Linked DNA regions of Drosophila melanogaster. The protein of the gene in region 2 purifies or fractionates together with the protein of the main gene of each other region. This does not show direct contact. Each region holds a gene or a part of one and is shown on either strand. Other genes may lie near its edges. The genes, in order: CG16826, Gapdh2, Yp2 and Mp20.

Region 1 (5,611 bases), on a different chromosome or scaffold from region 2:
CACATGATTGTAGCTGTATGATCTCAAGCGAAAATCAAGTTGGTTGTTCAAAAAAAATATATTTTGAATTCCTCTACATAATGTTTGAGTCCTACGAAATATTTTCAGTTATATAAATTTTGAAACAAATATTTCATTGATATATTTTCCGATGAAACAAGGGATGAGAGACTTAAGAAATACTTAAACAATGCTAGATAGAAGCAACTACGAAATTATTATAATCACTAATCACTGTTTGGTTGTTCTCTTTAATTTGGAAAATATGCTTTCCCGATTTTGGTAGTCCTAATGCAAAATTATTCCTAAACAAAATTCAGTAAATTCCTAATGCGAAATTCATATGTAATCTAAGCCATTGTTTCGTGTTTTAGAGTAAGCAATAAGGTATACAAGAATGAAAGTAAGGCGTTGCATGCAGCAAAACAATGAATATGTATCGATATTTTGCCAGCGAACTGTTAGTGCAACATTATCAATTAGTAAGGCCGAAACTCCTCCGAGGTAAGCGCTCAGTCTATGAGTTAGTGGGCTGAAAAAGCTTGGGACATATTTACAGGTCCTTGTCTTTTGGCTTGTGCATGAGGCAGAAACGCAAAATGATAAGTTTAGTATTATCACGAAACTGAATCGAATTTCCAATGCTTCGAAATCTGTAAACTTTTTGTTTGGCTTAGCGCACAAAAAGTATAATCATTAAGTAAATAATAAACAGAAATCAGAAAAACAGATTTAGTGGTCTTTAGGTAATAAGAGGCAAATTCAGATACTAAAGAGATCTATTCAAACACATGAAGTCAATAAAATTGCAAGTAAGCAAACTAAGATAGAAAGCCTGCGTTTTATTTCAGCAAATATTTATTCTCGAGTGGTTCATTTAGTGCCCCCCTCGCAAAGTCATAAAGGGGAAATCGTACACGTGTTATACAGGGCGTATGAGCTATAAATGTAATTTACCCAGCTGTACGTTAGTTATGTATACATGGCGTATGAGCTATAAATGAGAATCAGATGTATGCTAGTTGAACGGAGCCATAATTTGAATATTATAGCAAATCTGTTATATTCGATATGAAATAACACATTTTCATTGAAAAATATAACAGCATAAAACTTTATAAACGCTGTACTACGCGCTTCGTGTCCTCTTCAATTGACTGTTATACAAAAGCACAAAAGTTCATTTTTATAGCAGTTGAGATTGTTAATTCAGTGTTATACCTTTCGTTACTGTTGTTATACAACTATTTATATTTATAGCAGCTGGGGAAGTCCTTTAAGGGGAATTCACTCAGTTCATTTGCATCATTTGTTAGTAGGGGAGGTGCTAAGAGTGCAAGTTAGTTTCTTTTTCCCTTTTTCTATATTATTTAGCACCCTTATTTAATTTACATATAAAGGCAGAATCGAATGCATTTAAATAATTAATCTACTAAAGCCTCGTGTCTTTAAATTGCCACGACTTTCGTGCCTTACCTAAATAAATGAATATGACAATTTTAAAATAATTGCTTTAGCATCCGCAAAAAATGTGCTGCACCATTGATGAAGTTAATCGGTATCTGGGTAATACGTTTGCGGTAGAGTAATTTTTAAAGTACTGTTCAAAGTTAAGAAATATTTTGAGAAGCTTGGCATAGTTTATTAAGAAACATCATTGATAAACGATGAAGGAAAACAATTTCTAATTTAGTTGCATTAGAGTAATTTATTTTGCTGCTTCTACCCGACACCTAAAATACACTATACGTTCTTGTAAATATTTCCATGAGGATTCGTCGTCATTGCTGGAGTTGTCATATTCATTACTGGATGACTCCCCGAAATCCTACGAACTTATGGTGGTCGTTTCATTATTAGAGCTAGAGTCGTCATCGGTGGAAGTCTGCTGCTCCTGGTACTCCGCAATGATCTCATCCAGCTTGCGCTCCACGCTGGGCTTCTCCAGCTCGTGCTCGGCCAGGGTCTGGCCCACACATCCGCTGGCATTCAGGCCGATGGCCAGTAGTCGGATGCCTTGAAGCTTCAGGGTGAGCAGCTCCGCGGGAGCCGAGTCGAGTCCGCGTAGTGCCTCATTGATGCCATTGCGGCAGGACAGGAAGCTGAGGTTGAACTGGACGCAGAGCTCGACTTGGTCCGTCAGTTCGTTGGTGGCATTGTGGTACTTTTCGATGGCCTCTTGGACATTTTGCTCAAACGTGGCTTGCTGCGCTTGCAACTCCTCCAGGCAGCTGTGCAGATATCCGGAATACCGGGAGAGTAGCTCATTTATGATCTCCTCGGCTTCCTCGTTGCCAACTCCATTCGTCAGCTTATCCACTCGTTCCAATTGGGCGTCAGACCATTGGTACCACTTCTTCTGGATTATGGCGAAATACTCTTGTTTCTTCTCGTCTATCCGATCATTGAGGTTATTCACGGCCACTTCCAGATCATTTACGACGGTATTGACGGTCTGCAGTCTGGCGAGAGCATCCTTAAGTGCCTCTCGCTGCAGGATGTTTCTCACCCGATCAATCCCCTGATGCAGTGCGTCGATCTGCGCCCTCAGAGTCGCGGAAAAGTCGACGATTGACTCAGTGGCGGCTCTATGAACTGCATCTGCGATTTTTTGGGCAAACTCCAGGGTTTCGTGCGTGTACTGGGCGGAGGAGTTCCTTATGCTGTCCAGGAACTCACCAGCAATGGCCGTGCCATTCCTGGTGGCATTCACGAATCCACTGATGATGTGCTGGCCAGTTTGGTTTATGGAGCCGAAGATTTCATCCAAGAATTCCGGATGCGGTGTGGCAACAACGCAGCTGGCGCTGATGGCCAGGGCGAGCAGGAGAACGGCTGACTTGGTCGAATGCATCGTCGGTCAACGGATAGCCTAATCATTCTGCACCCTGGACCACCTTTTATATATCTCGGCTACGTGCGCTTGGGCAAATACATTCGCTGACTATTTCAATATTGAAGCAGGCCGGCATTTTATTAAATTAGTTAATATTTAATCAGCCGCTTTCCATAATGAGCGAATAGTGGAATGCATGCTGGTTGGATAACTTTTCGAAGAAAGCTCTGTGCACATTTGTTTTACTGTACTTGGGGGCAATTAAAAAAAAAATTATTTTATGCATTCTCAGTGTTATGAGGACAATGATTTTCTTTATTCAAACACAACGTTATTTTTTTAATCACCGCAAAATACAGTACTCAATAAATAATTAACAACGCGAATATAAATATAACTTTTGCCTTGCATTTTCTTAAAATCCCCTCTCAAATCCACTCACTTAAAGCATGCTTATAATAAAAGCCCTTGGCTTAAACTATGAAAATAAATCAAATAAGTCAATTTCGCGTGCATTAAAACCGAAGGCTCTTTATGCGGGTCTCACACAATCGCAGGCAGGTGGTTATAGACCCACCCTGCCATTTGCACAAGGACAAAGGTTAAACTCTGCTTTAATTTTGAAATTTATATGCCTGCGAGACAAAGGAGCGCATGTTTACGCTCAGGTTAAACCCTTTTGTGGCGAACTTTATGCATAACTAACCGAACGAACTGGGTGGTTCTTTTTGGGGGGCGTGGCAGGACGTGCACATAATAATTGTCTTTAGCATGCCTTTATTATGACTTTAATTGTCGCTTGACAAACGTTGACACACAACGACATGAAATGCTCGCCAGGTATATGTATTGTATAAATGTATATACATTTGGAGATATGGAAAGTAGCTGGCATTGTGGGTGGCGAGGTGATGGGGTTGTGATGGCGTGGTGATGTGCCGAGGCCTTGAGCGACATGCACTATGAACATTTTATTAGTCTGCTGTTAGTTTTGTTTAATTATGCTGTCATTAACTTTGTCGCACAGCCACACGCCTAACTGCAAAACAAAAGCTTACATGTCTCAACGCAATTATAGCCGGAGTGGCCAACAAAGTGCTCCATGGACAAGGACAATGGGTTGGCGGAGCGATCCCGCACTCTTCTGGTTGCCATTTTTCCCAGCTATTTTTACACCCATCCACTCCACACCGCTGCAGTCTCCTCAATGCACAGACATTTAATTTTGCGTTTTCCACTAATTGGCTTGCATACTTGCCATATTCTCGCTTCGCTTAATTAATTTAATTAGAAATATGTTTCAGCTCAAAAGAAATTCAAACCTCAAAACCGTTTCAATAGCAATCAGTTCCGTTTAGCATATGATAATGATGTCGCAATTGCAATTACCTGTTTAAAGAAAGAGGTCGGGTCGGGTCGTATGGGCAGTAACTTGCCTTTGGCGGATCACGCTCATCATCGGCTCCATTTAGAGGACATCAGGTGTGGAGTGGGAGAGTCTGGTCCATTTAAGAAAAGCAATTCATGTGGGGAATTCGAGAAGCATGAGCTTAAATGCTAGCTCAAAAAAGTTTATGTAAGTGGGATTACATCACAAATATCACTTGACCTTAATAGAATATATTTGTCTTACACGTGATAAGTATTTTATTAAACTTAGTACCTTTTTTAATAGCTATTCTTTGAGCACTTAAAAGAGTGCTTAACTTTTTATTATTTTTTAAAAATAATAACTATGACTTATTGATATAAAATATGTTTGTAAACAAAGACGATCTGAAGAAGGGTATCCATTCAGCACATGGCCGTGCCATAACCTTTCCTTTATGCTTTTCTGCTGACCTCGGCAACCTCCATGAATGCCAGCAGGCTATGGACCAAGGAGCATGAAGGAAAATGGAAAAGGACCAGGATCAGGAGGATGCCTGAAACGATTCCATGCCGTTGCAATCGCGGCCATTAAGTCATTTTGTTTCCTGTAACATTTCCGGTATCTTTTTAGCGTCGTCGCCGCTTCGAGTACGGCGCTCTGGCAACTGCTGGAGGGGATTGGAGGAGGTCACAGGGCGGCGGATGGCTCCAAGTGCTGCTGATTGGGGGCGCGGCCACAGGTTCTGGGTGGTGGCGGTGTGGCAACAAATGCTTTTAAAGTAGATGATGGCGTCGGCTGGCGGGTCAATTTATTGCTTACCAAATGTGCTGCTGGCCCGGGTCCGAATGCAACTGAAACGCTCCAAATTGCAGCACGTAAAGTGTGCTCTGAAATTAACTTGGCCCCCCTTTCAGGCCTGCCTACGATAAGGAGAAATATAAATAAAAAATAAAAAATATGGGAAATAATGGCTGCATTAATGATGGCCATCGAGCTTTAGGGGCCTGCAGAATGTATTGCAGTTTCAGCGAAAAGTGGATGATAAAAGTTCGTTAATTCGTTTTTGCACATATGAGATTAAAATAATCCGAACAATCTTCCCACAGGTATTTTTTATAGTTTAAATATATCAATATTTTCTTCAGACTGTCCGGAAATATATATTATTTTCCCAATTCCGTGCACTTGCTTTACTTACAGAGCACAATAAATATAACTTTTCATGAAAATCAGAATGAAATACATAAAAGCACTGAGTGCACTTGCATATTTTCCTAAAATACCATTGCTCTAAGTGAGTGCAACGAGTGGAAAATTTTCGAGCGCATTATTTTGCATATGCAGGCGACCATGATGAGGGCCGTTTGGCTAAATCCTTTAGGACAAACAAATACATATACTTA
Region 2 (5,930 bases):
GAATCTTTTTACAAACTTCCACTGTTACATTTTTGAAACCATTAAAAGCAAGCACTTTACATTCTAATATTTCGTTTCTCTTAAATCCACAAAATACATACACACATATATACTCTTATGTACACACGAAGTTGCCAATACGACAGTGCCATATGTACATATGTATATGTATGTATAAACAGTTCACATCTGCAGCCAAATACACATTCTTACAAGACTTTTTCCAGCATTTTTAACCGCTATTTAAATTGGACTATATTTTCCAAAACTCATTCATGAACAACATTGAAATGTTAAAATTACATGCACAAAAATAGATGAGCATATGTATAGAGAAACGCACTGTTGCACATGTGCAACTGAACATCTATTAAAATTTCTATACATGTGTACAATTTGCATTGAAAAACATTACAAGTTACGGTATAATGTTAACAAAGATATTCGAAATGTTTAGCCACCGTTTATAAATATTAATTATTAAAGCGTCCGCACGTATATCTCCAACATACATACATATGTATATACCAATATGTATACAGATTTATGTTCACTACGCACATACGTAAGATGTGAACTCGAGATGATTTTACCCGATGCACTTATGTTTCATTATATTTCGTTGGGGAAAATGTGTACCACACACACACTGCACAATCGTTAAATTCGCTCGGAAAACATACTCTTTGTTCGCCCCGTCAGTTTTACACAAGTTATGGCGTTTTCACTCGGTAACTTTCATTTACATTCATCAAGAACCAGAAGTCTTGAACTCTTATGCTGATTTGTGTCCGTTTGTTGCTACTGCATGTTGAATAATTCACATTTTATTTTAAGGTTTCATCAATTGATTATTTTATTTACATGCCAGTATTAAAATGTTCTGAAAATTAGTGTGCCCGTGTGAGAAAATTAATCGAAAAGACGGTATAGCAAGCGATTAAATATCGATAACGATATAATGGTGAAGTGCTGTTGAAATGATGCAGTCAACCAAAATATTTGATTATATTTGCCAATTATGCAAATATAAATCGGCAGAGAAACATTATTTTCTCAGAAATGTATCCAAAAAGCCAGGCTTACACAGACAATATGCCACCGTTAGTCTCTCCAAATATCGATAACTTCTGTTTATACATTGCTTCAACTGAAGGGTTTAAGGTCGCTCTTATCGAAATCTGTAAAAGCCCGATTTTTGCCGATAACAATACCATAGAATCAGGCTCATTTAAAATTATTTGAAAACTTTAACAAGTTATGTAATCATTCAAAAACCAATCGACTTAAAAAAAATATCGACACATTTCTGTTATATATATATTACTTCCAAATATAGCAAATGAAAAAAACAATTTAAAGTAATACTCATACTATTTTAGGTATTTCAACGGTTTATACCAAATAAAAAGGCAAAAATAAATATTTAAATGCTTATGAGTCGGCATTTTTAAAACTACACACAGAGTGAAACTTTATTCAACAACAGTAAACATATTTATGTGTATAATGGATGTATTATATTAATAATTTTCCAATGTGGCTGGTAATTGAAGAGCGAAAACAGTAGCATTTCAGAGCATAGCGCATATGTATGTAGGTGATGCTCCACCGGGGAGCAATATATATATAAGTTATGTGATGCCATTTTCAGGCCGTTTCTGAAGTGTCTCACCCCATTCTACCGCGCCCTAATCTTTAACTTTTACGTAGAGTGTGGGTGGGTAGTGTTCTTGGTGTTCCACATTTAATCCTTGCTCTGCATGTACTTGATCAGGTCGATGACGCGGTTGGAGTAGCCAAACTCGTTGTCGTACCAAGAGATCAGCTTCACGAACTTGTCGTTTAGCGAAATGCCAGCCTTGGCATCGAACACCGACGAGTGGGTGTCGCTGAGGAAATCGGTAGAAACGACCTCCTCATCGGTGTATCCCAGGATACCCTTCAGGGGTCCGTTGGCGGCCTCCTGAACCTTGGCCTTAATTTCATCATAGGACGCACCCTTGCCCAAGCGCACGGTCAAATCGACCACGGAAACGTTGGGAGTGGGCACACGGAATGCCATTCCGGTGAGCTTACCGTTGAGGGCGGGGATAACCTTGCCCACGGCCTTGGCAGCTCCAGTGGAAGCTGGAATGATGTTCTGGGCAGCGCCACGTCCATCACGCCACAACTTGCCGGAAGGTCCATCGACGGTCTTCTGGGTAGCGGTGGTGGCATGAACGGTGGTCATCAGACCCTCGACGATCTCGAAGTTGTCGTTGATCACCTTGGCCAGAGGAGCCAAGCAGTTGGTGGTGCACGATGCGTTGGAGACCACCTTCATGTCGGGCTTGTAGGCATCCAAGTTGACGCCGCAAACGAACATGGGAGCATCGGCGGATGGGGCCGAGATGATAACCTTCTTGGCACCGCCCTTCAAGTGAGTGGATGCCTTGTCGATGGTGGTGAACACGCCAGTGGACTCCACGATGTATTCGGCACCAGCGCTGGCCCAGTTGATGTTGGCCGGGTCGCGTTCGCTGAAGACGGTGATCTTCTGGCCGTTGACCACCAGGAAACCGCCCTCGGCGGCAACGGTGCCCTTAAAACGTCCGTGGGTCGAATCGAACTTGAACAGGTAGACCATGTAGTTCACATCGATGAAGGGATCGTTGACGGCCACAACGTTGGCGCCCTTATCAATGGCGGCGCGGAGAACCAAGCGGCCGATGCGACCAAATCCATTGATACCAATCTTCGACATGGTTAACTTTTTGTTTATCTGGAAAGTAATGTATGTATATGTAAAGCAGTTAGTACTTGGAAAGTTTTCCGCGGAATTGAGGGAAACACTACCTATCGGCTTGCTTGCAAGGAATCGACTGTGATGGCTGAGAAATTTTGAGCGCTTTCTATGGGCGAAAACTCGGGCGAAAAATTGTTCAAAGTCAGATGAAGGACGTGCATGTCAAGCTCGAGAGCGGCTACCGCAATAAAAAAGAGCTTTTGCTCTCAGTAACGTGAAAGCTCAATGCTACCCAATAGACTTTTTGCAAGCATCATTATATGAATATAATAAGTAGATATGTACATAAGATACGCTTAACTTTAAAAACTTCTGATCTTAGACAGTTAAAGTGACCTATAAAGTATATGGATTTTTTAATTTATACGGACAAATGTTTATTGGGATATTTTTATGGCCATTTCACCTGCTCAATTTTGTTGACGGAAGTTGAGCTTTCTTGTGAGCTTAGTTGCCGGCAATTACATACGTGCATATATAGGCACACGAAACATACACATATATGAGCACGTCTGATGAACATCAATTGGTTATATTGTACATAAATATGTACATAAGTAAATGCAAATGGAAAAATCCTAACATCCCCACATAAATACATATTCATCAATTTCATTAATATTAAAATTTAGAGGTCATATTCTGAGCAAATTGAAGTTTCGCCGGTACGTGACATTAATCTGTACAATACATGTACATATGTACAAAGATACATATACATGTAAATATGTATATATCTTCTATGCATAACTACAATATTAGATGAAATAATTGTCTAAGTAATTAAATTATCCGTTTTGATGATTTCATTTAAGCAATTGTGCTGTTGTCATCCCATTGTTAAAATGAAAAACACCTGACAGCTCAAGTAGGCATCCAAATTTCATGAATTTTAAACGCTAATGGTAATAAATAGTGTTAGTCACAAAATTCCATGTACCCATAACAACGAAATTGTATAACTTTATGATGAAAACTAAGTGAATGTGACCTTTTGAGTCACGCAGAATTCATTTACCTTTTTTTATTATATATAAACATGTATATACATATGTTCTTAAAATCAGCAGATCCCGTTTATATAAATATTAAAACATATGTATACGAACGATATATAATCAAAATCAATTAATTTGGGAGTATTTTATTCATACAATCATTTGTAGTAAAAAAAAAGGTATCTGCAAATTAATCATTTCTCCTTCCCCAAACTGAATAATCGATATTGTAATCATTTAACATTCTTTTTATTCTTTTCATTCTTTTTATATATTTATCGATTTGTTTTCAGTGCAACCCTTAATTATGAACATAGCAGTGAAAATTCAAATAAGCGCGCCAACATTAAAATGTTGAAATATGCAATTTGACAAGAACTCAACATTTCTGTTGCCTTATCTTTTACATTTTATAAATTATTTCTCGAATAAGTATTAAATATTTTAGTGCGTCATGTTTATTTATTAATACTTGGGCTGGGCAAAAAAGTTCGTTCCTTTTCAGTGAGTCATCGGTTTTACTGATAAGCAAACATTTCACTTGTTTTTTAACCTCTCATCTTTATATTGTTGAAACGATAAATGTATTTCAGCTTGGTGCTAAATTATTGCAGCAAAGTCAAAAACAATGCTTACATCTTACCATTAAGATCCATTGAAAGATGACTTCTAGATTTATACATTACCGAAAAAAAGGATCCGATTAGAAAAGTATCCCTGAAAGTGAATAAAACACCTGCCAATGTTGTGGAAGTCTTACTGTCCTTCGAGTTTGTGGGGTTATTGCCTTTTATGCTAACATCCCAGGATGACTTCCTAACCTAGAAACCCCATTACAGATAGAAGCTTCTTGACGTCACGAGCTGAAGTAGGCTATCTATGTTTATTTCTCTATATAAAGAAGGATAGTTCGCCTTTCTATGCGTACTATATCAGAAGATATATCTCTGGATCTGGTCAAAGATATCACAATTATGACTGTTGGAAATTAACTACAATTAATACCGATTGTTTGCATATCAAGTTCATTTTAATATATCAAGCTTTTATATAAAAGATATCATATTAGTACCACATTCGGCAATAGTTTCGTTATGAATCCCCGAACTGCAAACTAATTGCGACTACAATGTGGCAGGCTAAAGTTGATAGAAAATGAGCGGGTGGTTTGATTGAAAAAAAATTTAATTTGATTGCATATAAATGTATGACTATTAGCATGCCAGTTTTATTAACCCGTTAATCCTGACAGACCAAACTCTTAATTAATGTTTTCGGCATGTACATATGTGCACACGTACATTAAATGATATATGTATGTAGCATTTGCTTAACACAATTTTCTTTATTATTTATTCTAGATATAACGCTGAGTTGACGGCTATGACACAAATTATAAATTAATGTTAGTAATCTTCAGTTTTTTCATTTAAATATGTATGTTTGTATGTATGTTTATTACATGACCATGTTTTATTTTATTTAAATTTTCAATTTCTTTTTCTTGACAGCATTTTCTGTTTCCATTTTTTGTTTTCTTCTCAATTATTGTTAATAACTAATTACAAATAAATAATTTCATCGAATTTGCCGATTTGTCGTCGGCAAATAAAACAGTAATTAAATTACAAATCAAATTACGCGCATATATGTGCGCATATATATGATCGCGTGGCATATACATACATATATATAAACATAACGTATACGTAATTAAATTTGCACGGAAACACACATACATAGAGAAGGGTTCTGATATTAACATACTTGAGGGATGCGCGTTCTAATAACAAAGTACTCTTAACAAAAAAAAAATGATTAAAAAAGAAATAACACGTTACTTTGTTCCGTTTTGGGCTGTGATAGAAAAATAGTTTAATTAAACTTACTGCTGGAGTACAAAATTCCTGACAATTCGTAAAGTGCGTTCGTAATTATGCAATTATGTATGTATTTTGTATTATGCATTATGTATTATTAACCTTAGATGGACTTACTTTGGCGCATTTTTAATAATCGCAAAATAGAGCGGTTGATCAACACGTTAATTGCTCCTTGTTTAAGTTAAACAATAGGATTATCGTATTCGTATTATATTTTATTATTTAAATGTTACAAAGGTTTCTTTTCATAATTTATTCATA
Region 3 (6,417 bases), 5.8 Mb from region 2:
GTTCCCTTTTTTTTGGGATGATCTATTAGACTATTATAGTTCCTAAATGATTTAAGATAAACAAAATAGATATTTTTAAGCTCTTTATCGAGCGTTTATTTGCTGAATTTCGCGATGTGCTCGTTAAATGTTTAGGTAATCTCAAGAAAAGGGCCAATATGGGTTCAACTTAGGGACTACAGTGTTTGTGTGGTTGGGTGGTTGTTTGTTGTTTGGTAGTTGCCATTCCAGGTGTCCAGAGTAAGCAGACTCATCCTTACTGGTAGTCCTTGCTGTCCTGGTTGGTGTTCCACGCCTGGTGGACACCGTGGTAGCTGCTCTGCTTCTGGGCGGGTGCGTTGCGGCCGAAAGGAGACTTGGGGTTCACCTGCAGAATGTAGTCACCCTCGAGATCGTGAGCGGTATCGATGCCCATGTAGGCACGCTTGCCGAATCCATCGTTCTGCTTGTACTGCTGCAGGGAGTTGGCTGGCACGGCGGGGAAGCTCCTCTCGTTTCCGGGACGCACGGACTCGGCGAAGTAGCGGGTGGCACGCATGGCGGCCTCCACCACGTTGCTGGCTCCGGGAACACCGGCGGCAGGTCCATTGGGATAGAAGTCAACATCACCGGAGCGGATGGGGGTGCCCATGCCGTAGACCGAGGTGTGGATGGCGTCAACGAATTCAGCATCACCGCGAGCCAGACCGGTCAGGGTGTTCTTGCTCTTGGCCACGATCTTGGAGGGATCCAGACCGGTGACACGGCGCAGCTTGTGTCCGGTGAGACGGGTGAATTCCTGGGCAGCGGCACCGGCAACATGGGCACCCACATTCTGGCCAATCAGGTGAATGGTATCGAAGGGCATGTCCAACTCGTTGACCATCTGGACGATCCACTTGCCGATCTTGGCGCCGGTCTTCTCAATGTCGAGCATGGCATAACGCTCATAGGTGTTCAGCTTGGAGCCCAAATCGATCACAATGATGTCGCCGCTTTGGGTCTTGGCGTTCTTAACCTCCTCGCTGTAGTCCTCCTCGCTGCTGGTCCTCTGGTTCTTCCTCTGTTCGTTGCTCTGATCCTGGTAGTCCTGGTTGCCGTTCTTGCCGTGCTGGCGCTGCTGCTGCAGATTGTAGCGCTGCATGTAAGCCTGAACCAGCTTCCTGGTCGCCTTCTTCACGGTCTCGCTGGTCTGGGGCAGTCCGGTCACAATGATGGTCACCTCATCCTCACCAAAGTTCTGCTTCTGCTTCAGGCGCTGGATCATCTCGTTCAGGGGAGCAACGGTCTTGTCACCATTGGGCTTGGGCACATAGACCTGGATGCCGCTGGGCACATAGTTGGGCTCAACGTTGTGGTGGATCTGCGACAGGTGGTCTACAAAGGATATATATATTCCATAGAATATTCGATGTTTTTTTTTTTTTTTTTTATCTGCATCTAGGATTACTCACAGACTTGCTGCAGCAGCTCGGCGCCACGCTCCAGGTTCATGTTCTCCAGACGCTCAATGGTGAAATCGTCGAGGGCGGGAATGGCCTCCAGCTGGGATCCGGAGAGCCACTGCGACGGCTTCAATGCCTGGTTGACGGAGTTGTCCATACGGCCATTGGGCTTGGCCAAGGCGGCGACCGCCAAGCAAGCCAGAAGGCTCAGCACTCTCATGGGGTTCATGGTTCGGATTTGGGATTTGGTCCTGCGGATGCGACTTCAACACTGAGTGAGTTGAACTGGCCTTCCAAATCCAACGATGGTGGTTTATATACCACAATTTGCGCTGAGCGATTTCCCATTTTCTGACTCGCTTTTCGCTGGCTCAGGCCTTAATCGGTCACTTGTGCTGAGTAAGGGTTTTCGGGTGCCTGGGAATCGGATGAGTGTATATGCTATCGATAGCGGAATAAATTGTATACATACAAAATAGACACGGGGCCTACCTATAGCTGACCCCACTGATGACTTAGCAGCACCTGCTGCCGCCTGATTATTTTAATTTGTAATCACTTTGTAGGCTCCGCTGATTGCAACATTGTAGTTGTGCACCGGATTTGATCAAATAAATGCATAAAATATAGATCTAACATGGGCATTAGTTGGTTATTATATACAACATTTTATTGATTTTTTTTGTTTATAAGTAGATTTATATTTGGCACTTTTCTTCTGCTTAATTAAAAGTCCATAATTTTGCATTTTCAATTCAAGGCCGATACAGTTCATTGATTCCTAGATGTTTGCCATTGATACGAAAAGTATGGAATGTTTGTAGTTTCCAAGGCAAGATAGTAAGATTATATTTGTTTTTGGACTTTAGAAATGAATTGATTCAGGGGAACGTTTTTCAAGGAGATTCTATTTTAATATCCGGGATTCGTTTTATAATATATGATCTTATCGATGCTATTTCATGTAACTCATTCTACTTATTAAAAATATATGTATATTTCGATAGATGTAAATATTTATATTTATAATATTATAATTTATAATATATTTATTTTGCATTTCCCTGAAAGTGCTATCTGCTTATAGAACAATTTAGACAATTCTTTTGGCAAACACTTAAATAGTTGCATAAATTTCACAAAATTGCCAAATATTTTTTTCAAACAAAAGCTTTATCTTGACCTGTGCATGAGTTCAAGTCGTGCCCCCACTGTCAAGCCCCTTAATGGCCAGACCACCTTTTGTTTATGTTATGAAAGTGCTGGTTAAAGAAGTTTCCCATTACCTGTTACCCGATGGATACTTAATAACCAAAAAAAAAAAAAAAAAAGGGGAACGAAATTTTAGAGCTCATCAGAAGTGTTGCAAAATCACTGACGCTGCGAATCAATGCATTTGTGCTGATCCAGAAATCGGTTGCTGAAATCAATTGCTTCCGGCGCGTGCATTATAGTGTGTATAGACTACCGATTCCAAGGGGTATAAAATGCATTGAGTCGCAGCAGTGGGTATGCAGTACAATTTGGTACGGTGTCTGAAAAAGTCGAACTTGGAAGCCACAATGAATCCTCTGCGCACCCTTTGCGTTATGGCCTGCCTTCTGGCGGTCGCCATGGGTAATCCCCAATCTGGTAACCGTTCCGGTCGCCGATCCAACTCCCTGGACAATGTGGAGCAGCCCAGCAACTGGGTCAATCCACGTGAAGTCGAGGAGCTGCCCAACCTGAAGGAGGTTACCCTTAAGAAGCTGCAGGAGATGAGCCTGGAGGAGGGCGCTACGCTGTTGGACAAGCTCTGTAAGTTCAAGGATCTCTAAAAGTTCTACCAATCATGTTATATTTACACGCACTATCCTATCCCGCAGACCATCTGTCCCAGTTCAACCATGTCTTCAAGCCCGATTACACCCCGGAACCCAGCCAGATCAGGGGCTACATTGTCGGCGAGCGCGGCCAGAAGATCGAGTTCAACCTGAACACTTTGGTGGAGAAGGTTAAGCGCCAGCAGAAGTTCGGCGACGATGAGGTCACCATCTTCATCCAGGGCCTGCCCGAGACCAACACCCAAGTGCAGAAGGCTACCAGGAAGCTGGTGCAGGCCTACCAGCAGCGTTACAACCTCCAGCCCTATGAGACCACCGACTACTCCAACGAGGAGCAGAGCCAGAGGAGTTCCAGCGAGGAGCAGCAAACGCAGCGCAGGAAGCAGAACGGTGAACAGGATGATACCAAGACCGGAGACCTGATTGTGATTCAGCTGGGCAATGCCATCGAGGACTTTGAGCAGTACGCCACCCTGAACATTGAGCGTCTGGGCGAGATCATTGGCAACCGTCTGGTTGAGCTGACCAACACCGTGAACGTGCCCCAAGAGATTATCCATCTGATTGGCTCTGGACCCGCTGCCCACGTTGCCGGAGTGGCTGGACGCCAGTTCACCCGTCAGACCGGACACAAGTTGCGCCGCATCACCGCCCTGGACCCCACTAAGATCTACGGCAAGCCCGAGGAGAGGCTGACCGGACTGGCCCGTGGTGATGCTGACTTCGTTGATGCCATCCACACCTCCGCCTACGGCATGGGTACCAGCCAGCGATTGGCCAACGTGGACTTCTTCCCCAACGGACCCTCGACCGGAGTGCCCGGAGCCGATAATGTCGTTGAGGCCACCATGCGTGCCACCCGCTACTTCGCCGAGTCCGTGCGTCCTGGAAACGAGAGGAACTTCCCCTCCGTGGCCGCCAGCTCGTACCAGGAGTACAAGCAGAACAAGGGCTATGGCAAGCGCGGCTACATGGGCATCGCTACCGATTTCGATCTGCAGGGCGATTACATTCTGCAGGTGAACTCGAAGAGCCCCTTCGGCAGGAGCACTCCCGCCCAGAAACAGACCGGCTACCACCAGGTCCACCAGCCCTGGCGCCAGTCCTCCTCCAACCAGGGTTCCCGCCGTCAGTAGATCATCGCACAGTGATCCATCGATGACAACCAGATCGCACACCCCTCATGCGAGCGAACCACTCCAGCCCATCCTCATCCAGCAGAACCCTCTGCCAGTTGCATCCACTACGATTAGTTAGCTTTGTTTTTTTAACTCACAATAAAAAACGTTTGCATTTTTAAACATTCTAAAGAGTTCAGTTCAATATCAGAAAAAAACCCCAGTTCAATTTACAATAAAAACAATTGCTTATGTCGAAATATTTGAGAGTTCTAAATGCTCATTATATAAAAATATCCAAAACCAAATTATGCAATGCCACTGAGGTCATAAAAGAAGCACACAACAAACATTTGGATTACATGATATGTTTATTTGATAAAGAAAGCATATTATCCATTATGATATATAGCGTACACACACGCACAACCACATATATAGATATGGCGCTATATATATGGGACGATGAACTACGGACAATATTTCTTGCTTACTACTGTATTGGCAGGCGCAAAAAAATTGGGTTGAGATATCACTAAGCTTAAATAAGAATAATTAACGTAGAATTTCAACTTGCTTCACTCATATTCATCGTCTCGATTTCAACAACCTCATCAGAACTAATCACAAATTGGAAAAATCATATACAACACGGGGTGCAATGGGAATGGATGGTCTTTTTATCGATGCGAATGGGTCTCCAGATGAGATGGGTTAATGGATTTAGAGGCTTATTTAGAGCTGTGTTTTTGTTTTTGTTTTTTTTTTTTGATTTGTTTGTCTATCAGTCTAATCGCGGCAGGGCTGATCCGAGGGCGACCAGGTGCACATGCCGCCGACGCCGTCGTAGGTTAGTCCCTTGGGACAGGTGTACTCCCATCCAACGATTCCACCGGTCTCCTCGAATCGGGCGCAGGATATAAACTTCCTGCAGTTGAGGGGATGCGGAAAATTTCCCTGTGCCCGGCACTCAATGATGCCATGACCATGAACGATCACCTTGGGATCGTTTTTGGTCGGAAGAATACTGCCACTGCGACGCCGTTGGGCGACCTGACTGTGAACCACCGGGAATCCCTCGTCCAGAAATTGACTACTTGACGTGGCTGAGATTACGGCAGTCTTGGCCGGCGGACGACTGTAGACCTCGATGTATTTGTGCGGACGACGACGACTCTGCTGGCGACGGGAGAGAGGAGGAGCCGAGTGTCCAGCCGACGTGGTCGATCTCAAAGTTGAACCGGATGTGGTTGTAGTGGGGGGCGTTGATGTGGTCGATTGCGGCCGACGAGGACGTGGGATCAATTGACGGCCTGCAGTAACAAGTTAAAACCAGTCAAATACAAACAACAATGCAATGGTTATACACTTACGGATTCCCTGGCCAATAACTGGTAGTGGTGCATTGGCAGTGGTGCTAACTGTGGTGCTGGTGCTCTTCAGTGGCTGCGCTGGCAATGCCAAGTCATATTCCTCTCGTGGACGCACCTGCTCTGGTATCTGGTTGAAGCGGCTCGTGTGAATGCTCGACTTGGCCACCTGATCCTCGTCGTCGTCGTTCAAATACAGAGTGGTGGTGGTTTCCAGGCCCGAAACTGGTGGGTTGGTGGTGCGGGCGGACGGCGGAGTGGTGGATATAAGGGTGAGGCGGCGCTTGAACAGTGGGTTCTGAGTTCTGGGCACCTCGGTGGCTAAAGGGAAAACATAATAAGAATATGAAATATGAAATTTAAAAAAAAAATTAAGAAAATTCATGGCTTAATATTTTGATAACAAAATAATTTCATTAGGCGAAAAAGCAATAACAGGATTGTTGGTAAAATTGAGATGTTTATGACAACTTATTTTCATCATAACTTGGCCTAAAATTATCGTAAAGATGTAAGAATAACATTTTTGAGCAGCTAATTACTAGTACTAACTAGTAGTACCTGTCACTTTTTGAAGAAATTAGGAATTTTAATTTTTGGGTCATTTTTCGCCTTTTTTGTAAGGGGTAACATCATCAAAATTTGCAAAAAATTACCAAAAAATAGAATTTCCATTTGTGAA
Region 4 (6,707 bases), on a different chromosome or scaffold from region 2:
CCCGGGGGGGCTTACGTCTCAGGATTTTACGTTTGGGTAAATAATATTGGGCGTAAGCCAAACAGAATAGAAACAGCTAATAAATAAAAAGTTCAAAAGATTCCGCATCGCAATCATTGCTGAATCAAGTTTGGAACAAAAGTATAAACAAAATTCAAATGAATTGTAAAATAGTCTAGAGACTGCACACCTTTTTTTAAGGTATACAATTTAAGCGCTAGGACTTTTTTGATTTTTTGATAAAATCCTTTTTCTATACTATTTTTAATAAGAACTTATATTTTTATTAGCAACAAAGTAATGTGTGTGGAGTCAATAAATAAATTTGTGAAAAGGTGTCAGTTATTGTTTGGCTTATATTATAAGATTTAGATTTAGAGAAGCCGATAATTGGCAAAAGGGGAAAAATTTTAAATACAAAACAAATAATTCCTCCAACATTGTGCTACGAATGTTCTTTGAGCGACAAAGTGAAAATGTTGAGATTTATTTAATTGCTTTTGTCGCAAGGAGCCGAAAAATGTCTACAGAAATTATGAGAAACTTATAAATAACTAGTGGATGCCATGACCGCGGCGAATCGAGTGTTTATTTTCGTTAACAAAATGACGACATTGGGCATGATTTTCCAATTAAATGCTGAGCTTAAATAAATAATGCGTCTATTTATAGACGGCCAACTCACTGGCAATGGGGCACGAGTTGCCAGTATCTGTATTCGAATCAATGTTCTTCGTTTTGTGTTTGTTTATAAATGAAATTGCAGTCTGCAAACTGAAACGCTTGACTCAATTTCCGTTTCCGCCCAGCTTCACTGTAAGCCAGCGGAAGCGGCACAAATGCCAGCAAGTGGTTGCTGGATGGCCCAAGGGCTAGCCGGATCCTTTGGAGCCATTGGATCCATTGGATCCCTTTGGTGCCTTTACTCCCCAACGACCTAATTTTCGCTTGACTTCATTTCGGATATGCGTTGCCATTTTGTGACCATTGTGTGCTGGCCATTTTGCGGAGCATAGGCCGTCGGCCTGGTTGTGGATTTTTTTATGCTGATTTATGGGAAAATAATCCCGGCTAACTTAGCGCCTGCAAAATGGTTCTCCTCCGCCAGGATGTTTGCACACTCGAATCTAATTTTCCTGGCCAAACACATACACAATGCTCTGCTCTGTGCAATTTTGGCACAAACGTTGATGAGGATGTCGTCTGATGAGGATGCATGAGGGACCCCCAGGGTTCGGATAATCATTTAATCAGCCATTTGTTTGAATTGCAATCCAAGGGAGACGATAGTAATAGTACTTTCCAAAACCATCGGGTGTGTGCCATCGCGTAATTGAATTTGATTCTTTCACTTGACGAGCCACACCCCTCAGCAAATGCAATTACAATAATTTAATTGCCGTGAAAAATGGCCGCCCGGCTGCGGGGCATTAATTAAATTTTTGCGAAGACAATAGTCAAAACCCAGCCTGCGGCGCATTTAATTCACTTAAATGGCAACCAATGCGGTTTACTTCAATTCGCCGCGTATTTGTTAATTAAAATAAAAATGTAAGAAAGAAAACGCTCCGTCGAAGTGCCGCGGGCCAAGGAGGCGGTAAAAATAAACGAACACGCCATCTGTTTTTCTCCGCCGTGGGAAAAACAAGAAAAGCCTGGAAAATCTCAACTATTTCGGCTCGGCTCCACCTGTTCGGCGTCGAGAATTTAGAAATAGTCGCGCTACCCATAGCACAAATTCGTCGCGCCTTTTACGTGTATCTCGTAGATTTTCCGACTGTTATCGAAATTGTATCTGCTCTAGCAAAAGATTTTCCCCCATCCCGAAATAGATGTCGCTGTGCGATTTGTTTGTTTGGCTTTCCCCCCCGAAATACTCTAATAAAATATTAATTTTTGTGGGGGGGCACGAACTTTGACAGTTCCCAGTCGCCTTGACTGGTCGCCTCTTCACTTTATTGCCCTCTCGTTAATTTTGAAGGCATGTTTTGCTGATGGCTGTCCTCGAACAAAGTGCTTTTCAATAACACAAGGCACATAATTCAAGTTAATTTCCCGCTCATAAAGTAATCGCTGTCCTTTTTACTTTTTAAAGCTTGCAAATTGCTCCGTCTTTTCCTGGAGACATTATTTATATCCATTATCAGATTATAAATACATTGTATGAATATTTCAATAATATTTATAAAAATTTAAAACATTAGTATGATAGTAGTATGATGAAATTATTTCGAATATTCTCTTAATAAACTAATTGGCATGTTCTAAATTGTGAATATTGCAAAGGATGCTCCTCACATTTTGTAAATCTCTGTAAATTCTGAAGGACGTGTCTTTGGAAGATTTGATTATCAAATATATTTGAAATACCAATTAAATCCAATTTGAAAAACATTTTCAGTAAAAATTAATAAGTACATGTCATTTTTGTAAACTTTTTATGCAGAAAGTCCTTTTAACAAGAAATTGCCATGTCGCTGATCTGATCTGATAACTGTGAATAATTGTGAGGATGTCCATGTCATCATAAATTTCGCTGTAAATTCTGGAGGATGTGTCGCTCGATGGGAACCAATTTGCTGCCATTTTTAATTATGACCCAATGCATGCCGATGGAAATTACGGGCAACGAATGCACGCGCCCGAAATGAGTTCAAAATGACAGCAGGACAGCAAGTCCGAAAAAATGCGGCTAACATGCAAATGAGCAGTACTTTGAAGAGCACAATCTACACACACTCGCACACACACACACACACACATACCATCGATTGGAAATGTGTGAAAATAATGAAGCATTTGGATTTTTCCTTTTTCTCAACCGATGATGATCTAAAATTATAACGCACGATTCATACGCGGGAGACGGGCAAAGTCGGCGTTTCGAATATATAGAACGCCCACGCTGCAAAATTTTCACACACTCGACTCCGAATTCGGATATATTTTTGGAAAATTCTTGAACGAATTCGTCGGAGAACGCTCTCTCGCGCTTTAAAAGCCGCATACGCCCCGTTGGCTGGCATCAGTGTTAGCTTGTCAGAGCTTTAGTGAAGATCCCGCAGGACCCGAAACCAAAAACCAAGAATCAAACATGTCTCTTGAGCGTGCCGTTCGTGCCAAGGTGAATACTCAATCAGTGAAGAAAAAAGATCCTTAAGAAAACATAGATATAAAGGAAAATAGATGAAAGAAATGTGAAATTACCAAACAGTTTTGTGAAATATTGTGCCTAAAATATGAATTTTTTCTTATCCGATCCACCTAGATTGCCAGCAAGCGCAATCCCGAGATGGACAAGGAGGCCCAGGAGTGGATCGAGGCCATCATTGCCGAGAAGTTCCCCGCCGGCCAGTCCTACGAGGATGTGCTCAAGGACGGTCAGGTGCTGTGCAAACTGATCAACGTGCTGTCGCCCAATGCCGTGCCCAAGGTCAACTCCTCGGGCGGCCAGTTCAAGTTCATGGAGAACATCAACAACTTCCAGAAGGCCCTGAAGGAGTACGGTGTGCCCGACATCGATGTCTTCCAGACCGTCGATCTGTACGAGAAGAAGGATATTGCCAACGTTACCAACACCATCTTCGCTTTGGGCCGTGCCGTAAGTTTCAAATCGCCTTCTATCCCATTGTCAGCCAGGCTAATCCTTGAATTGCGGCTCATTGCAGACCTACAAGCATGCCGACTTCAAGGGTCCCTTCCTGGGCCCCAAGCCCGCCGATGAGTGCAAGCGCGATTTCACCGAAGAGCAGCTGAAGGCTGGCCAGACCATTGTGGGTCTGCAGGCCGGTTCCAACAAGGGAGCCACCCAGGCTGGCCAGAACCTCGGCGCTGGCCGCAAGATCCTGCTCGGCAAGTAAGCGCCAAAGGATGGCCAGGATGTCCACACCCTTTTCTACACTTATGCTAAGTGAACACACCCATATATATTTTGTATGATGAAAAACATGAAGAACACAATGATATTCCTCACCAAAGCAAAACTCAACACCAATGAACACACACTCACACAAAACAACACATAAAAGCAACGCAAAGGCTTGTCGCCTTATATTAAGTATACGCCTAAGTTAATCTATTTATGAGTACAATAAAGTAATTCAAAGAACCCAGTTTTCCACTTTCCGATCACCTCTATAACCTTGAGCTCTCTACGTTCTTGCTGCTGTTGTTTGTGTGGGTGTACAGACTTTATTTATCTGCCTATGGTGCGTTCTAAAAATGAATTTCATACCTATAGCCATATAGCTGAATATATATATATACTATATATGCATCATCGTATCAACGTTATAAAGCAAACATAAACACACTCTGTTGAGTGTGTGCGATGTGTGAAACATTCCATCGAAGCGTGTCGAGGTCAGAACATCAGCGTTGGGCAGAGTTATTATCAAGATGGGCATCTCGACACTGACTTTTACATATATTTTATATGTAGCGAAAGGAATTTCCCCCAAACTCACCTGTCCGAGGCGTGAAATTGTTCCCACGAAAGAACACACACAACATTATGTATTGCAGGTGCAACTATGCTGGTGCCAAAAATGAAAAAAACCAGACATCTCTCGCGAATATTTCACGCCTTCAGCTGGCACTTTTCTAATTTCTCGATTTATTATAGTTTGTCAGTGGGTGGAATTGATCTCTGTTGGCTTATTATGCTGAAAGCAAAGAGCAGGAATGGAAGAATCTGGAAATATTTTGTATTAATTGTATGTTAGATCTATTGAAAAAATATGTCTTAGAACGCAGAATATATTCAGCATGGATTTGTTATTAGTTTTAAATGACGCAGTCTGCAAATGAAATATTTTCCTCATTCGTTTTGGCTAATTGAAGTGTACTCAGGTCGTGTGTACAATATTTTAGACTCAAATAGTGCTCAGAAAGGATGATTAAGAATAAAGCGTGCCAATTTCCGAATCGGTATATTTAGAATTTTGAAAATTTCCAACAATTGGTTGCTAGAAATATTAATGAGAACAACCAAACGGTATTTCCCCTTGGTTTTGTTGTTTTCTTCAACATATATATATGGATGGAATAAATAAAAGCAGGCAAATAAATAACAAACTTGACACTGAAAATGTGGGGGATATATATATATATATACATATATATTAATAATGGTTCATTAAGAGATTTTCTCTACCGTTTCAGGGTTATTATTGATGCATAAGCTTACGACTAGGAAGTCTTGAATTTTCCATTGTTTATAGCATTAATAAACGACAAATATTATATTATTTTTGTGGAAAAATGTATTTGGTTGAAAAGTGGTAATAGCCCTATTAAATAATCGAGCTCTTTTTTCGAGGTGACATCAAACTTTGCAGCTGATTGGTAAGTGATTTTAGGGTTTCCCGGAGACTCGAGACCATTTTCTCCTTTTCACGAACATAGGCGACAGTTCGATCGTAGTCATACATCAATGCGGGCATAGCCAGGATACCACCCTGGCATGTCAAATCTCTCATCCGGCGCCTAATAGCCTTGTGCTCCAGTTTTCGGCGACACAGCTCGGATTTTAGTTTATTTTTCAACTTGTGCTTTTCCAGCAGGTTATCTTTAAGAACGTGAATTTTGTTCTTAAGCTCGTGGGACTTCTCTCGATTGTGCTTAGTCATATGCAGTTCGGTGTGGTAGAGCCTGCGCTGTCTTTTTAATTCAATATTTCGCTCTGATGGAGATGATTATTATGCATATAATAATGAACAAATTTTAAGCAGAGATGTTCATAGGACTATACCTTCAATCTTCTTTTCTAGGCCGATCGTTTTGTTTTGCACGGAAATAAAGTCATTCAAGCTCACACCGTCGCAAACCGTTTCTACATCTCTTATTTTCTAAATGGAGATGTTTCAGAAAAGTATGTTGATACAAGTAAAACAATCAAATTAGAAAACATATGAAAAATTGGAAAACAATATTGGTGATAGTAAATATAATGAAAAACTACATGGCTGGATAGTGGGAAGCAATGTGTTGTAAAATATTGTGAATAACTTAATAGCATTATGTGACAATTTGAATGAGCATAACCGGCGGATAACATGGTTGCTAACATAGCATATAACATGTCGGATAACATAGCATGTAACATGAGTTGGCAGACAACACGGCGATTAACATATAATGTAATATGACGGATAACATGGCGAATAACATGAAGGACAACACGGCTGATAAAATGGCGGACAACATGGCGGATAATATAGCATGTAACATAGCATATAAAATGGCGAATGACATTACAAAAAATACGGAGGATAACATGGCGGACAACATGGCGGAAAATCTCTCAACAACGCGTTCAACATCGTGGACAACTTTTTGGACAACATCCTGGATACCTACTTCTAAGATGCGGGCCAAGGTGTGTTTCTGCGACATGAGCAACAGCCGGGCATCGCTAATTTGATTCCGATGGTCGGCCATAAGTCGGAGTTCGCGGGCAACCAGGCGCTTGAGGAAATCGGTCTCGGCGTCCGGACGAACCAGGATGCGTTTTAACGTCTGCTCGAGATGATGCTCCGTGCTGAGAACGATGTTCATGGCGTTGGCGAGGTCCAAAAACGCAGTGGTCATTAGAATGCCATATTTCTCCCTTACCCTGATGAGGCGCTCTTGACCATAGGACAGATAGGTCAGGGCGTGATCAAGGCGACGGGAGTAGGTTGACTCGGCGTTCGGCGTTAGGCGGT

The links.
Region 1: the proteins of Gapdh2 (region 2) and CG16826 purify together in Drosophila melanogaster (affinity purification with mass spectrometry, with the first as the bait; one large-scale study listed by BioGRID). This does not show direct contact.
Region 3: the proteins of Gapdh2 (region 2) and Yp2 purify together in Drosophila melanogaster (affinity purification with mass spectrometry, with the first as the bait; one large-scale study listed by BioGRID). This does not show direct contact.
Region 4: the proteins of Gapdh2 (region 2) and Mp20 purify together in Drosophila melanogaster (affinity purification with mass spectrometry, with the first as the bait; one large-scale study listed by BioGRID). This does not show direct contact.

Annotation. Positions count from the first base shown.
Region 1 is NT_033779.5:13,345,040-13,350,650, reverse strand, and holds CG16826 (uncharacterized protein), read right to left. Parts: upstream 2,879-5,611; 5' UTR 2,855-2,878; coding exon 1,829-2,854; 3' UTR 1,631-1,828; downstream 1-1,630.
Region 2 is NC_004354.4:15,865,152-15,871,081, reverse strand, and holds Gapdh2 (glyceraldehyde 3 phosphate dehydrogenase 2), read right to left. Parts: upstream 2,938-5,930; 5' UTR 2,839-2,937; intron 2,765-2,838; 5' UTR 2,747-2,764; coding exon 1,748-2,746; 3' UTR 1,421-1,747; downstream 1-1,420.
Region 3 is NC_004354.4:10,049,153-10,055,569, reverse strand, and holds Yp2 (yolk protein 2), read left to right. Parts: upstream 1-2,935; 5' UTR 2,936-2,986; coding exon 2,987-3,221; intron 3,222-3,289; coding exon 3,290-4,383; 3' UTR 4,384-4,619; downstream 4,620-6,417. Other genes in the region: Yp1 (yolk protein 1), read right to left, coding at 257-1,356, 1,434-1,653; Cht6 (chitinase 6), read right to left, coding at 5,155-5,678, 5,739-6,056. UniProt on the Drosophila melanogaster protein: Vitellogenin is the major yolk protein of eggs where it is used as a food source during embryogenesis. Vitellogenins and their receptor yl/yolkless are required for maintenance of microtubule plus-end orientation towards the posterior pole of oocytes.
Region 4 is NT_033778.4:13,243,649-13,250,355, forward strand, and holds Mp20 (muscle protein 20), read left to right. Parts: upstream 1-3,021; 5' UTR 3,022-3,094; coding exon 3,095-3,124; intron 3,125-3,268; coding exon 3,269-3,601; intron 3,602-3,668; coding exon 3,669-3,856; coding exon of another isoform or gene 3,857-3,860; exon of another isoform or gene 3,861-4,111; intron 4,112-5,163; coding exon 5,164-5,182; 3' UTR 5,183-5,232; downstream 5,233-6,707. Other genes in the region: CG4712 (uncharacterized protein), read right to left, coding at 5,295-5,683, 5,753-5,849, 6,361-6,707.